Linked DNA regions of Lytechinus pictus. The protein of the gene in region 2 purifies or fractionates together with the protein of the main gene of each other region. This does not show direct contact. Links are inferred from orthologs where the notes say so. Each region holds a gene or a part of one and is shown on either strand. Other genes may lie near its edges.

Region 1 (7,873 bases), on a different chromosome or scaffold from region 2:
TAACTTTTTACTTTGCCTAAGTCAAATATTTTTGGCCCACAGCAATCTGTTTGTCTAATGAGAAATTTGACCCAGAAGAGGTAATGTTCGCATGTTTGACCTATGGAAGGTGGTCTCATGCAAGTTTAATAATAATGAACTCGCGCTTACATAGCGTATACAAATTAAAACTGCTCTATATAGCTCTCAAATTTTACACTACAACAATTATCCCCACATCAATATCAGAGTAGACATTTATCATAAAGTCAACTCACCTTCCTCCTACCTCTCTTGTGAAACTTTGTGGATAACTGGTAGATTGAACTGACATGCCTTTTTTATGGGGGGATGTGTTGAAAGAAAACATCTGCAATCAACTGCAAATTTTTTGTTGCACTTTTACAATTGACAATTTTGAAGCTGTCACTATCAGTTTACACTGCTTGTGACATCAAACATGATGTCAGCAAGCAATTACAAATTTGCAACTAATGGCAAGACATATAATTGGTATTATAATGGGCACCCCAGATAAATTTGCAGTTGATTGCAAGTTTTTTGCAATGCGCGATAGTTTTTGGGGGGGAGGGTGGAAAGGCTCCATATAAATGTTCACATACCTGGTTTGACTTCTGGCTCGGGAAGTTTCTTCCTCAGAATGTGCACGGTACATCCTGCCTTCACCCCACATCCTGATAAGGTTTCTGCATCTTTCATCAACTTTCCACAGTAAACTAGATCTGCAAGAGCACATGGAAAGTGACAGTGTTTTGTACAAGATATATGGGGCATTCAATGGTCAATAGGGAAAACAAAAGGAAATAAGCGATGAAGAGGGGAGTGTTAAATGTGCATTTGCAGAAGTGGGATGAACTCACAGAAGGAATGCATTTAAGTCCGGCCAAATTTAATGGAAAAGTCATCTACATCAGTCTGGGAATGAGGATCGTCCCCATTTCTCCGCACAAGAAATCTAGGAAAGTTCATTCACCTGTCAAGTGCCGACACCAATCGAGTACGCTAGTCAATACAAAATATTAGGGTTTCATCAAGATTATACGAAGTTGGGAAGTCATAAAATAGAAAGTGAACTGGGGGGAATGGAAGTAACGGAATCTATTATTCGCACTCTCAATTCTAGAAACTGCCATCTATTTCCCACAGGAGGGATTGGGGGAAAAAATTGTTCTCATAAACAAGGACAATCTAAATTTATCAAGATTTGATTTGTATTGGTTTATGAAGATATCCTTGTTTTCTGAGACAATCCTCAATTTCGGACTGGCAGCTCTGTACCTCTACTGAATGTGTTATAAACTTCTAATTTTGATGTTCATATATTTTCTATTGATCATGTCTGATGAGGAAGAAATAAAATATCATGAAAAAAATAATCTCATACCAGACTGTTACGCTCAATCTCATCACAATTGCAGTAGTATTGCAGTGGGTCATATAACATGTATAACCAAATTACAATCATATCAAACACAATAGTTTCTTTAGATTCATTATTCACAAATACCTAAAAACAAAATTTAAATGGCCAACAAAATAATATTTTTGCCAAGATCAAATGTCTTTTTTACAATATCACTCAGCTTCAGATCACACCCTTAGCCCTTCTTCGCACATGCAGACAGTCGACAGTGAAATAAATAAAGTGCTGTGACGTGTTGTGAAATATACTATATGGTAATACATTATATCCATGTATTTGGACCACATGGCTTGCCATAGTCTTAGGGCACATGTACGTATGCCCGTGCCGTACGACCGCGTACGACCATCGCCCTGGTTATATGTTATACTTCTTGATTTTCTATACTTAACGTGTTGGAATTTTCTTTTTCTTTACCGAGTTTACATAGGATATTTAGTCAAGATTTTGGATAGTATTTCTGCTACTCAGTAGACCTATTCGTATTTTTTGTTTGCCGACGAGGGGTTCACTGGATTTTGAGCCGGAGTTCGGTGAGTGATTTATAATTTAGGAATAGTGTTTCCACTTATATATATTTTAGGCTCTACATATCAAATTATTGTTTCTTTGTTGCTTATTTTTTGCTTGAATTTACTGATTTGGCCACCTGATAGGGTTTGGCAAATCTTTCAATTTCTTTTTTCAAAGTACATTTTCCGGCAAGTAGCCTGTTTATTTCCTAAATTACAAAACATATTATGAATACATAATTATACTCTGAATTTATATACTTCTCCGGCCGTATCCCATATATATTTCACGTTATAAGTTAGGATAATGAAAGGAGATTTATGGGGATAAATCTTGTTGGCCGGGAGGTGTGTTGTGAAATATACTATGGTAATACATTATTAGACCAAAAGCTTCGGTCTCTGTTATGTTGGTTGTTCAGCTGAACTCCGTTGGCTTCACTCATCAAATACAGAGACCGAAGTTCTAGCGCGATCTGTACAGGGGACTCAATGGCCATATGTTTATGTGTATTAAGTTTGGATAAAACAGGGCAGTGAAGTTGCGCAACAGCCGAGGTAAGTCACTGTTTTTGTTCCATTTAACTTGATTTTCCCCGTTTTTTGGCAATTAATGCCAAGAGGGAATATTAATTTGCATTTTGGTCGCGTTAATTTTCAAAAGTTTGATTCATTAAAGACAAAAATTGAAGAGCCCTGACGGGGGGATTTTGCATTGTAAGTCCCCTAATGGTGGCTGCACGATAGCGAGCCATCTGTGTACGAGGAGAAATTTAAAAAATAAAAAAATGTTTAAAAACTCCTCGAAACAGACGGCTGCCAGCTGTCTAATACATTATATTTGGACCACATGGCTTGCCATAGTCTTAGGGCACACGTACGTACGCCCGTGCCGTACGACCGCGTACGACCATTGCCCTGGCGCGGGCGAGTTCACACAAGGAGAACTGGATTTGGATTGAAGCGGAAAGGACCTAGCGACTTACCAATCCTCTGGCTCTGGTTCCCAGTTCTCAGCTGGATTTACAGCAAGTCTTATCTCGTAAGTATCAATTAGTACCACTCGGATAATTTCACAACAGACGTGACTGAGTGCAGTGACCAACGTCGACCACGTTACTTTGCACTTGTTGAAGTAAACTTGGAAAAATCCACTCATCCTACGAACGAGGTCGAGGTACTTCTTCTACTTGTTATATATTATAATCAAGACTCAAGAGTAAAAATCATTTGCTCAAACTGAAAGTAACATGCTTTTCCAGCTTTCCTTATCATGCTGATGGTTAATAAATTAGTGGCAGGTAGTGAGGTAGGAGCAATGGCAGGTCCTTTAGTTTTACTAGCATTAACAAGGTCAAGAAGCTAGTACTAGTAGAAGTCAACTTGGCCTGGTCGTAGTGCAGTGTGCACATCCGAAATGCAAATTACACAGCGCCTGCTGCGCTGGCGTGGTGCAGCGCGGTCATCCGCTAGATGCTGCTGGTAAATGCTTCGCTGCCTTGGCTTGGTCTTCGACTTGTCTAACCGTCTGTTCTACTCTACACAACTTTACTTACTTATATCTGTTGACGGAATATCGAAGACATTCGAAACTCTTTCTCTAAATTCTGCTACAGGTGAACCGAGGTCCACTCCATCTAAACGAGGGCGGCCAGGTTTTTCGGAAAATTTGACACAGACAATACAGCTCGCCATTTTTTTTGTCAGACATCAACAAAAGAAATAGGGCGTGGCTTGTAATGATGACGTCAGCATAATCAGGATTGATAAAGCGAGTCCCCCGCCCCGCCCGCGAAATTATTTTTCCCACCGAGTTCTGGACCGACATATGAATATTCATGACTTGCGTCTTCGGATTGAGAGTACGCATGCGCGTGGACTTAGCCTCGACCAGTGCCGATCGTAAGCATTCACGTTGCTCAGAATGAATTAGCATCGTCAAATTACCGGTACCCTTACATAGTTACATAGGCCTTATAGGCTTAGATCTATATATACATCCAATTCTTAAACACTTATCAAACTAGCTGCCATTAATGGCAAGACATGTGCTAGGGTGGGGCTAGCTTAGGCTAGCGCATTAACTTTACCTCAAATCTGGACCTGTCTAATGCCTAATACTAATAGGAATCCCGGATAGGAATAGCCGACTAATGACATGGTTAACTTCGAACTTGTTAATTCCGAACTTTACGTTTGATTAGGTTTGGACCAATATTAGCTTATTTACCATGGTTTAATATGGGGATTACAGTAAAATGTCAGAAATTGTTGAATAAATCCCCAGAAACGACGGTTATTCCTGTCTAGTCCGTATACAGAACCAGTCCTAGATCTAAAAAAAAATATCTTAGTTCTAGTCTAGTCTCTAGATCTAGACTCTGATCTACGCGCTATCAGCATGGAACCACTAGTGTACCAAAGGGGGGGGGGGCAGACTGCCCCCCTGACGAGTCACAACTGATTCAGGGGACGTGCCCCCCCTTGAAAAGCCAAATTAATAATTTGTAATGTCAAAATGCAACGAAAAAATACGTTTTTCCCCTCTTTTGAACGTGAAGATCTTTTTTTTTTCTTGTCAAATTTTTTCAGCTACAAAATCCATAATTTTGGGTGAAGACGGGGATCAAGATCACTGACGTTAATTTGTGCCTGACGTTAGAATACGTTCCATGCACGCACTGGTGTACCTAGGATTTTCCAAAAGGGGGGCAAATTTTTTAGAGGATATTTCGTCCGCGAAAAAATGTGACAAGCCCCCCCCCCCAAAAAAAAGGGTCTTCACCCCAAATTATGGATTTCTTAGCTGAAAAAAAATTGACAAGCAAAAAAAAAAAAAGATCTTCACGTTCAAAAAAGGGGACATACGTCTTTTTCATTGCATTTTTACATTACAAATTATTAATTTGGCTTCTCAAAGGGGGCACGTCCCCTGAATCAGTTCAGTGACTCGTCAGAGGGACAGTCTCTCCCCCCCCCCCTTGGTACACTAGTGGTTCCATGCTGATACAGCGTAGATCAGAGTCTAGATATAGAGACTAGACTAGAACTAAGATAATTTTTTTTTTAGATCTAGGACTGGTTTTGTATACGGACTAGACATATTAAACCATGGCAAATAAGCTAATATTTGTCTAAACCTAATTAAACGTGAAGTTCGGAATTAACCAGTTCGAAGTTAACCATGGCATTAGTCGGCTATTCAGTGTTGTATGTCAAGGCTCAAACATCCAAGGCCAAGGCCAAGGCTTTAATACCCAAGGCCAAGGCTTCAATACCAAAGACCAAGGCCAAGGCATGGAAACCCAAGGCCAAGGCCTGAAAACCTAAAGGCCAAGGCATTTCAAACTTACGATATACAGAACAATGAACTAACAATACTTAGGCGGCAGACATCACACATGGTAAAATGTATGTGAGCGAGGGGATTGAGCGAGAAAAAAAAACCTTTGTACATTTAAAACAAAAATAATTTCATGATAGAGACATATTAAAATAATGATATAGTTACCTGTGTACACATAATCCATAATTTTTCTATAGGCGATTTACATTGCAATAATTATTATTACCACGGTCATCTGATCCTGGCATTCTCAACGTATGTTTTCTCCACTCCCTGGGACAGGGGCAGCAGAAAATTATTATGGGGGGGGGGGGTCAACGCCAAAAAGGCACCCATTTTTCAAAATGAGTTTTTTTGTGCAAACAGATACATGTATTTGAAAAATGAGATTATGAACTGCGTGAAGTAATTGTGTGTTTTATAGAAATTAAGTTGAGCAAAGGCTTTCTAAAGTGATTTTTAATTATAAGATAGATATTTTGCTTTAGGTTTTACTTCTCAGCGAGAAAGCATAGCGAGCAAGCGGTTTTGAAAAAAAAAATAATTCTGAAGTTGTAAAACTTGATTTATGGTCAATTATGGGGCTAATCATTGTTGAAATTTCCTTGCGCGATGTTGCCAGCGCGAATCACGAGCTCAAACTTCTTGACATGTCGTGTAATAAGACATGGAAATTATTTTATTCTGAGCTGGTTTTGTAATCATGAAAAAGATGTGTATCTATATAACTAAAAAATAACTTTGCGCTCGCTAATTCTTTTTATATACTGACCAGTAAAGGAAGCAGTTAATTACTGCATTTTAAATAAGATACATAATTTACCAATAAAAAATAATGCGAGCGCAAAGCGCGAGCTCAGAAATTTGTGATATTCCAACCTGAAAACTGGACATTCTAAGCATTTTTTTGTGAACGGGAAGAGAACGAGTACAATAATTGATGCGAGTGCAGGAAGCGAGCCAAATATTTGTGATATTTCAACCATAAAGCAACATTCTATACATTTTTGTAACCATTAGCAGTACTGTATACTAAACAATAATTGATGCAAGCACGATTCAAAATCTGTGATTTTCAAACCTAAAATGTATTATGTTTTATTATTAAAGAAGGTATTTCTTTTTTAAAAAGGGCATATTTCATTTGGGATTTTTTTTTTTTTTTTTTTGGGGGGGGGGGGCAAGAGAGCACAAAGCGCAAGCTAAAATTTTCAAATGCTTAAACTGAAAATGAGTCATTTTTAGGACTCTTGTCAGTTTTCATATTTTTTTCTGCTTTCAACCACTTTTATTAAACAGTTAATTAATCATTGATTATTAATACTTATTGATAATATCAATAATTATTACTTATTAAATTATTTTTTGTTAATTATTATTTCTTGAAACCATATTGACACAAAAACAAATACGTTGTTTATTTCCTTGAAACTGTAGAGAAATGAGATTCAATGTTGAACGATATATGATTAAAAAGAAGTAAACATTTTTTCCCCTTTGTTTTGTCAATCTGACCCAAAAACAAATATAAAATTTAGAAGAGAGATAGAGAGAAGAAGAAGTCCCACCACCAAGAATAAACTTAGACAAGGGGGGAAGGGAAAGGAAAAGATGGAGTAAATATGATATTATTTTTTAAACAATCTATTGCAAAATTAGCTTTTCTTATAGAAAGAGGGGGACAAATTTTGTTCACTCGCTCGCTTCAATCGCTTTCTTCTTTTTTTTTGACAGAAATTTTGCTCTATATATGCCATGCTTGGCCCCTCAAAGTTTCTGGCTCACCATGCCATTGACATAACCCATTTGGATATGACACAATTGGAGACTGTGTTCAAGTTTACCAAATCTTTTCAGAATATCATTAAGACTTAAAACATTCTTGTTGGCCAAAGAAAATAATACAAGGAAAACCCTAATGGAATAGAAATCAACCTTGTTATCGTTCTTTAGAGTTAGCTATGTTTAAAGTATGAAAATTGTTGTCAAAATTGCAGTCAGATGTAAAAATTATTCTTGTCATCAAAGCACTATTATCTTGATCATGACCATTATTATTTACTGTCATTATCATCATATGATTACACCACATTACCAATACATAATGCTATTTTTCATAACTGATGTATTCTTTGTTTGAATTTCTTGATAATGGTGACAATTACAATTGATGACACTGCTAGTACACTTACTACTGCTGCTGCTACTGTTACTGGTGATTGGTAGTATTGACCATTAGTGTTATTAAATATATATTAAAAAAAACAATTGAAACATTTATAATTACTTATTTAAAACAAATGAAAGTACAAAATTCAAAATGCCTTGAAAATGCCTTTAAAAAAAAAATTCAAGGCTCAAAATCCTCAAGGCCAAGGCCCTCTCGAGGCCAAGGCTTTGAAAAAGTAGCTAGGCATTAAGGCGCCTTAAGGCCAAGGCCGAGCATCAAGGCACTACAACACTGATTAGTGTAGTAGGTTTCACGGTACACCATGTATCTTTCTTGGGCAGATGTTGGTCCTGAAAAGGACCACCCAATCTCGACGTTTCGACAAGTGTGTTCTTGTCGTTTTCTCCTGAGGACGACAAGAA
Region 2 (8,410 bases):
TCCCCCTGATCTAAATGGTGAGGAAAGAGAAATGAAAAGGTATCTGTGTAAATTATTTTAACACTGTTAATTATATTCAAGCATAAGAGATAATTCGAGCATTTCATAATACATGCGCTACCAACGTTTATCATTATAAGAAGTCGACCCAATTTTTCCTAGGATGGTCAAGATAAACAAGGTCCGTGAGTGAGATTTGATTAAAGAAATTACTGAACGATGAATTCAAGGAATAGAGAAGTATAAGGTCTAATCTGAACAACTATAAGCGAGATCACATGAAAAATGCAGTGAGTAAATGAGGTTACTTTGGTAAATGTTTCAAATTTGTGTGAAGATGGCATTACACCATCTTTCACTGTATTCAACCTTTCATGAAAAAGAATAGGGCTTTACAGTCTGTGATAACTCACCAGGAACATCGACAACCAGTGGAGGTCTTGGGGCTCTAATCGGGCTTGCTCCAAGTTGTGTTGGAGAAGTAGGTGTCGCTGGCTGGTCCACATTAGATTCCTGACTTGGTGTCACCCTAGCTCCCGGACCAGCAGGACTTCTATCTAGGTGAGCTAGACGCCTCCGACGAATCTGATAATCAACATTTAGAGAAAAAAAAAGAAGATATTTCATGCATCTGGAAAACTTACTTAAGATTGCCAAAAATCAATGACTAGATATATTTTTTACAATGATTTTCTATTGATTAGGGGCCAGAATACTACCCGGGCTGTTATAGCAACTGACACTAAGAACAAATTATGTGCAGCATAAACCCCAAAAAGGTGTTGCTTTTTTCACTAACATAATACACAAGTTTAACCAATTTCATGTTGATCAGCATCTAAAAACCTGCAAAATTATTGGTATAAAGGTTTGAGGAAAATCCATAAAAGATTAAGTTACGGTAAAAATATGAATTTTAGGAATTTGATGTGACATAAAATGCCAAAATTTCAATTTTTTATTAGTTTGTGATGACTACCAATTTTCTTTTTTTCAAGAGCGGGTTTGAAATAATTTGTCTGTTAATATACAGAAGGTTCAATAAACTCCATTTTCAATATTTCAAGAAAATGACATTTCACTGATATCTTTAATTCACAATCCGTGGAAAGCTGCTCGCATATAATGTCCGAAGTCAAAAATTAAATTCTAATAACTTTTTTAAATTTCCTCAAACCTTCACCAATATTTATATTTCTTCTGCTATTTTACAACAAAATTTTTCCCATTTAAAGCTAAGCATTGATTAGGAAGTTTGTGTGACCATGAGTTGGATAATATCCCTGATGTTTTGATTTAGGTTCTAACATGCAAATTTGCAAATGGGCATTTTCACGGTAACTGACGTTACACGGCTCATTTTTACACACCTTTCATTGTGTGTATGATTATCTCTAAAACAACAAATGATGGGAGGTTGCTTGGTTGGTGGCGCTAATAAATTTCACAACCTTGATTCAGCTCCTCGGTAATTTTATAACTGTGTCTACATTCTTTGAATAAGCAATTCTTATGATTGATTTACTAATTATGGGCACTAATAAATGAAATACCTTCAAAAACATAATTCAAGATTATTATTGGCGATGATAACATTTTTCTGCAATTAATTTAAAACGATGACTAATAAAGAAAAATTGGAAAAAATATACGTGCCTGGAACGAAACCAGCAGTACATCAATAATACACGAACATCAATAATACGGTATACCAAAGTCTTTACAATGAAAAGATTGGACACTTCACGGACTTTGCGTAATGACCTGTGTCAATTTGCGTGTAAAATAGTGTAGGCCTAGGTGCCTAGTCTTTCCCTTGTCGTGTCTTTGATATGAATATAAATCGCGCGCCCTCTTTAGACGAAAATTGATATCGGCGCTGACCAAATTTTAACTCCGTGAAATCTTCACCAAAGATCAAGAAAATATATGGTGAGACTACCACATATCGACCACCTCTTTTGAAACCGACCACCTTGCGCGCGTTAAAACTATTGCGTATTACAAACGATACGCGCGGGAGAGTAGGCGCAGTGTCCATAGAAACGGTAAGAATCGATTTTACGAGAAAAAAAGAAGCAACAAAAAGTAAAAATTTAGTAGAATTAATCAAAATTGTATTGACCAGACCCAATTCCCGCTGAAAAACTAAGAAATCCGATAGGAAACGGCTTTAGAACAAATATCCGTCGTCAATCGTCGAATCATGTGCCGGAGCTCGCAGTGGAAGTAGTGAGACGATCATTTAGCATGTTGACATCATAGAACTGATTTGGAAGAGTAAAAATATTTCGCCACCGCGACAAGAATCGGCCGTAAACTTAGTGTATCGCGGGTGGTCGGTTTCAAAAGACGGGTGCAAATGAGCAAATGTAAAATCGTCGTATTCGTTGTTCGTCGATATATACGCGGATTGAATCGGAGTCGCTGAGCGAAACATGGGAATCTGATCTGCTCAATTTTCTGCACAAATGGGACTAAAACTGGGTAAAATTGATGAATATTTTCGCAGATACGATGCTGAGAAGATTAGGTGGTCGATAAGGGGTAGTTCCAACCATACATATTTTTTAGAAGAAACCTCAAGGAGAAGTCACGGAACTCGGAAGGATCTAAATGATATCAGAATGTGAAATCCCTAATTATGTGTGATGTTTTATGTGGGCGAAAGCCCAGTAGTATATGGATGTGTCGTGTGTGTCGCATTATTATGAATGATATTCCTTCGCACGCGAGATGATATGACTGAGCCCATGGGTGGGAAATAACTGGGGCGTTGGGCAGTATACACAAACTCAAAGACGAAGAACTGAATCAATTAATTATCAGTCTCCCTAATCCTGGCTAGACAGCCAATCAAATGGATACAAACCAAGGCAATATAGAAGATTATGGCCACTGCACTGGCATGACTGGTCAGACATGGGGACACGTTTATTTTGTCGTGATCCCATTTTCTTTGTGCGATGACATCGCACAAAAAAATTGGATCACGACAAAATTAACGTTAGATAACACAATATTACACGAGTGGGGCTGCATATAATGCAAGGGAATTGTCGACATGGCAAAGCAGAACAAAGACTGAGGTAAACAAAGCTTTCGCCGTGAAATAACAAACAATCCATATTATTATTAGGCCTTACCTCATCTGGTGTAAGTTCACTCATTTCCACGTTGTTTGTCGGAAGATTTGTTCCTCAAAAAATGAAAATACAAGGTGCGGCTGGATTGTGTTTGTCAAATTACAGATGATAAATTCGTTCATTCATTTCGATCAATTCGCCATATTGCAACGTATATTCGAATATCCGGCCGAGGTTAGCTAGACAGCGCAGGTCGATCGCCAGCATGCTGTGTATTATGGCTGGGCGTATATCCGATTAACAATACCGGATCTGGAAATCGGAAGAAGTGTGTGTGGTCGGGGGGGGGGGGGGGGGGGGGGGGGTATACAAAAATTGGTGGGAGAAACCGGGAGAGAAACAAGACACTTGGCTTACTGACTTAAAAAGAATTACAATGTAGGCTGGGAACTATTCCTTCCCACTGGGAAGGAATATACTTGGTGGAACTTTTGGTGACAAACTATAGGGAAGACGTACAGAAATAATCAAATATATACATCATGAACTAAAAATAAAGGTAGACCCAATTAATCTAATCTATAGGGGAGAGCGGGGAGAAGTGGGGCGCGGGAGAAGTGGGACACCTCCTCTATCTGTAAGAGTAGAGAACTAATCAGCAATCAATTTCTATCCTGCGATAGGTCTTACCAAGCAACCATCATGTCAATTAAGAACTACACCAGGAAATTTTAATTAGAATTTATCCTTTTTCCCCCAGTTTAATTTTACCTATTTTGTACATTTATTGCCAATAAAGTTACAGATTAACAACAAAGACCTATAGACCCTAAATATAACTCATTCAGACATACCATGTCTTAATAATGTGATGATAAATAATGATAAGATGCGTTTATAAAATTTCAGACGCCATTTTTAATTTTGGGGGCTCGTGGGGAGAAATGAGACAAAACATCTCAGCTGTTCCTTGACTTGTCCCACGTACTTCACCACCACGTTGTCCCCCCCCCCGGGCCCCCCCCCCCCCCCCACGCTGTCCCACTTCACCCCAATGGCAGATTGAGTACAAAGGGAGCTCCAATATTAAAGAATAAAAAAATCTTATTCTTACCTGCATTCTGCTTCAAAGCTAATCATGTATGTATTTTTGTTCTGATTACTCAATGTCTTTATCTCTCATTGGTATCAAAGTATAATACAATGAAACTCTCAGTTTATCCAAGGCTCAGGCCAATAGACCAATGATTCAATTCAAGAACAACACGAGTCCTTAATAACGTCCCAACTTTTGCTTGTTTTTTGCAGATAGACATGCCTCGAAAATACAAGCGAAGACTCGTATGAGCATAACATCTCGTGATGACATGCTCAGTGTGTTCATTGTGTCCAAAATTAGGAAATTGAATCCATATCTTAACTTATCTTTGTTTATTTTGATATTTTGATGCAAAATGTCCCTTTTCTTCAATGATAGGAAACGAATCATCTTCGGTTTGATAAAATTGCCCTTTGACATTTTTAACTCTTAATCATCAAAGCCTGGTCATGCTGGTTGACCTGCTTTTTTTATTTGGTATTATTTTATTGAAAAGTGCTTCACAGAATCCCAATAGCAATTTGCCTGTGTAAGGCCAAAATGATTTATTATCTATACAAGCATTCCAAGATATATTGAATTTGCAGGTATGCTTACTAGTTAGAGTTTATTGTTTCATGCAGTGTTGGATGTATATGATTGAAATTAAAATATTTGCGGTGTTACACATTTACCTTGATGTTATGTGTATTTTTCTTTAATTACCTTTCTGTTTACACATCACTTTTGCCTGTCCCACGTTACTCCCACTGTCCTATTTTACCCCATACCACTTTACCCCAAGGGTGGTCCACTTTCCCAGAAGGAAAAACCAGTAAGACCAGTAGGAATTTTTACTGGTTTCCAGTAGATTTTTACTGGTTTCCAGTATATTTTTACTGGGCCAGTTGATTTTTAACTGGACCAGTAAAAATCAACTGGAGACCAGTTCAAACAATTGCATTCCAGTTGAAGCAAAGTAGTAATACAAGTTAAATTGTTTTTCATCAAACTGGTGTTACTGGTCCAATAAGTAATTACTTTATTTCAAGTCAGATCATTTGACGAATTAAGGAAAATGAATCTTGCAATTCAGAGAAAGTTATTATCGTTATCATTTATCATTGTTATCATCATTCTTCTTATAATTATCATAATTATTATTATTATGATTATTATGATCATTGTTGTTATCATTCTTATTACTGTTATCATTGTCATTGATATTGTAATTATTATTATTAATATTATCATAATTATCAAGTATTAACATTATCATTAAAATAATTATTTCCTTTAACGATGATTAAGATCAAAGCAAGATATATTCCTCTGATATAGTCAACTGGTCTAAAGTAATTCATTGTTTGAAATTGAACTGGTCAAGACCAGTAATACCAGTAATTCTGATGATGCTGATCACGTGGTTTACCTCATTTGCATATTTCCTGTTTTTAAAAGAAAAATCAGGATTTAGAATGGAATATCCTTGCAATGGCACTCATTGTAGTTAAAAAAAAAACTTTCTAAATAAGTTTGTGAACTAATTCACAATGAAAATGTTTAATTTCATATATCACATTTAAGATAACAGCAGAAAGATTAATTTACTTAGCATCTTTTCCATCACATTTCACTGACCATGGTATATAACAAACCAAATGCATATAATAAAATTGATCCAGTAAGACCAGTACGAGGACCAGTTCGAGGACAAGTCAGACCAGTAGAAAATACCAGCAAAGACCAGCTTAAATTGGATACCAGTGAGACCAGTAACAACCACCAGAAACTACACCAGTATAAAATTCCGGTAATTCTAGGCCAGTTTAATTTTTAACTGGACCAGTAAAATCTTAACTGGACCAGTATGACCAGTTATAGACCAGTAAACCGATGTTCCAATTTCCAGAGTTACCAGTTAAACTGGTTTTTCCTTCTGGGTTACCCCGCGCAAGAGGCGTTCCAAAATCACATTTTTTAAACCAAAATCTTAAAGTTTAGGAGTGATACCTAGTACCTGGCTATGTAGCTCAGTATTTTCACTATAATGGCCTATGCTTATAAGTTAGAGTTTATTGTTTCATGCACTGTTGGATGTTTATGATTAAAATTATCATCTGTGTGGTGTTACAAATTTAACCCTTGATGACATTAGTATTTCTCTTTAATTACCATTCTGTTTACACATCACTTTTGCCTGTCCCACGTTCCTCCCACTGTCCTATTTTACCCCACCCTATGTCTCACTTTACCCAAAGGGTGGTCCACTTTACCCCGCGCAAGAGGTGTTCCAAAATCGTATTTTAATCATATCTTAAAGTTATACTAGTACCTGGCTATGTAGTATTTTCACTATTTACCATTATGAACTGTAAATGTCATTCTGAATAATTAAAAAGCTAGAGATGGAAAACGATCAGAGTGTTATTTTTGTCCCACTTCTCCCCGCTCTCCTGCTATTAATTCTATATATCTCCTAGATCTAGGCCTAATAGGCCATGAAGAAGTAAAAGATATTTTTAGGAGGAAAATAAAATTGATGACACCAGTTATGTGCATCTCGATAAATCATGGGCGGAAATCCCTGGGGGGACAGGGGGGTCGCGTCCCCCTACCCAAAGTAGTAGGGGGGGACACAATATCAATTGTCCCCTTACTATTTTTGGTCTTTTATGATGGAAAGAAATACATCAATAAAAATCGAAATAATACATGTATTTTGGGGGAGAAAAAATGGGAAAAAAGGGGGAAAGAAAGAAAAAAGAAGGGGGAAAAGGAGGAAAAATGAAAATGAATAATACGAGAAGGGAGACAAGTGAATAAAATAAGGTCAATGGAAGACTTGGAAAATGATTTGAAAATAAATGTCATGTCACAATATTAAATTTTTGCCCACGCTTCGCGCTCGCATAGCCTGTTCGACGAAATACATATCGTGTTTAATAGGCTGATATGTAGCTTAAAATATCAAGTTTTGAAATATACAATGCATATATTTCAGCTCGAACATCGAGCTTTTATTATTTTGTTTGATTTACAAATTGCTCTGTAAAATGTCCGTTTTATTGTGTGAATATTATTTGCAGCTTTTTGCGCTATGCGCTCGCTTTATTTGATTTGCCAAGTAGGCCTACATATTGTCTCTGTTTAGTCCATCAGATTCTTTATATACCGGTATTAATTCTATAACAAATTACTTGAAATCCCCCTTTTATCAAAAATTTCGTCCGCGATTGCGCTGGCATTATTGTTGAAAATATATCAACTCATAAATCCTATTCATGATTACAAAATGATTAAAATATCCAGTTTTCAGGACTCAATGTCAACAAATTTCACTCACTCATTATGCTTATAACATTAATAAATACGATAGATAAAATTTTCATGAATTCCTAATAACAAAATTGTCGCTTTTTCAGAATAGGAATAGGAGGATAGTCATCATTTTCATATGATGACAAAATGTCCTTAGGCCAAGAATGTCCAGGTCTCAGGTCAAAATAGTAATAATAATATCAGCTCGCGCTTCTCACTCGCATCATTTATTACGTGCTATCCGTATCCACTTCACAATTTCCCTACACAGTGCTTTAGATAGTGCTTAAATTCACCTTTTCATACCGGAATATCAAACATTTTCCGCTCGCGCTTCGCGCTTGCATTATTGATTTTCATGATAAAAAAATGAAATGTATTCAGAATGCCCAGATTCTGCCTAACTCTAAAACACGCGCGCACATTTTTATTAAGATACGCAGCTTGATCTTTATTCAAAACGTGCTAAAATTATCCAGTTTCAGATCAGAATATAAAAAAAAATTTCTACTCGCGCTTTGCACTCGCATTATTAATGTAGGAAAAGACCAAATTTCCCATCTTTTTTCATGATTTACAAAACATGAATAAAGTGTCCCATTATATAGGTCTGAAATCTCAATTTTTTCACTCGCGCTTCGGGCTCGCATTAATTGTTTGGTTTTATACCTTTACCGTTTATGATTACAAATAGTGCTTAAAATGTCAACTTTTTAGGTCGGAATGTCAAAAAATTCTCAATATATTTAATAGTTGAAATATGTATCGTCTTAATGGCTAACTGCAAAACGTCCTTATCAGGTCCCTTATAGATCAAGCCAGAACCGCTCGCAGTAATTATTTAGCTATACATACGCACAGAGGCGTCGATCATGGGGGGGGGGGGGGGGGCAGGGGGGGGGGGGGCAACCGCCCCACCAATGAA

The links.
Region 1: the proteins of ubiquitin conjugation factor E4 B-like (region 2) and ubiquitin-like protein 7 purify together in Homo sapiens (affinity purification with mass spectrometry; 3 studies listed by BioGRID and IntAct, counting the BioPlex papers as one, with this or other methods). This does not show direct contact. The link is inferred for Lytechinus pictus from reciprocal best matches to the Homo sapiens genes UBE4B and UBL7.

Annotation. Positions count from the first base shown.
Region 1 is NC_087249.1:17,028,466-17,036,338, reverse strand, and holds the start of ubiquitin-like protein 7, read right to left. Parts: upstream 3,670-7,873; 5' UTR 3,631-3,669; coding exon 3,492-3,630; exon of another isoform or gene 2,922-3,491; intron 723-2,921; coding exon 603-722; intron 1-602.
Region 2 is NC_087258.1:2,507,155-2,515,564, reverse strand, and holds the start of ubiquitin conjugation factor E4 B-like, read right to left. Parts: upstream 3,366-8,410; 5' UTR 3,171-3,365; coding exon 3,147-3,170; intron 586-3,146; coding exon 414-585; intron 1-413. UniProt on the Homo sapiens protein: Ubiquitin-protein ligase that probably functions as an E3 ligase in conjunction with specific E1 and E2 ligases. May also function as an E4 ligase mediating the assembly of polyubiquitin chains on substrates ubiquitinated by another E3 ubiquitin ligase.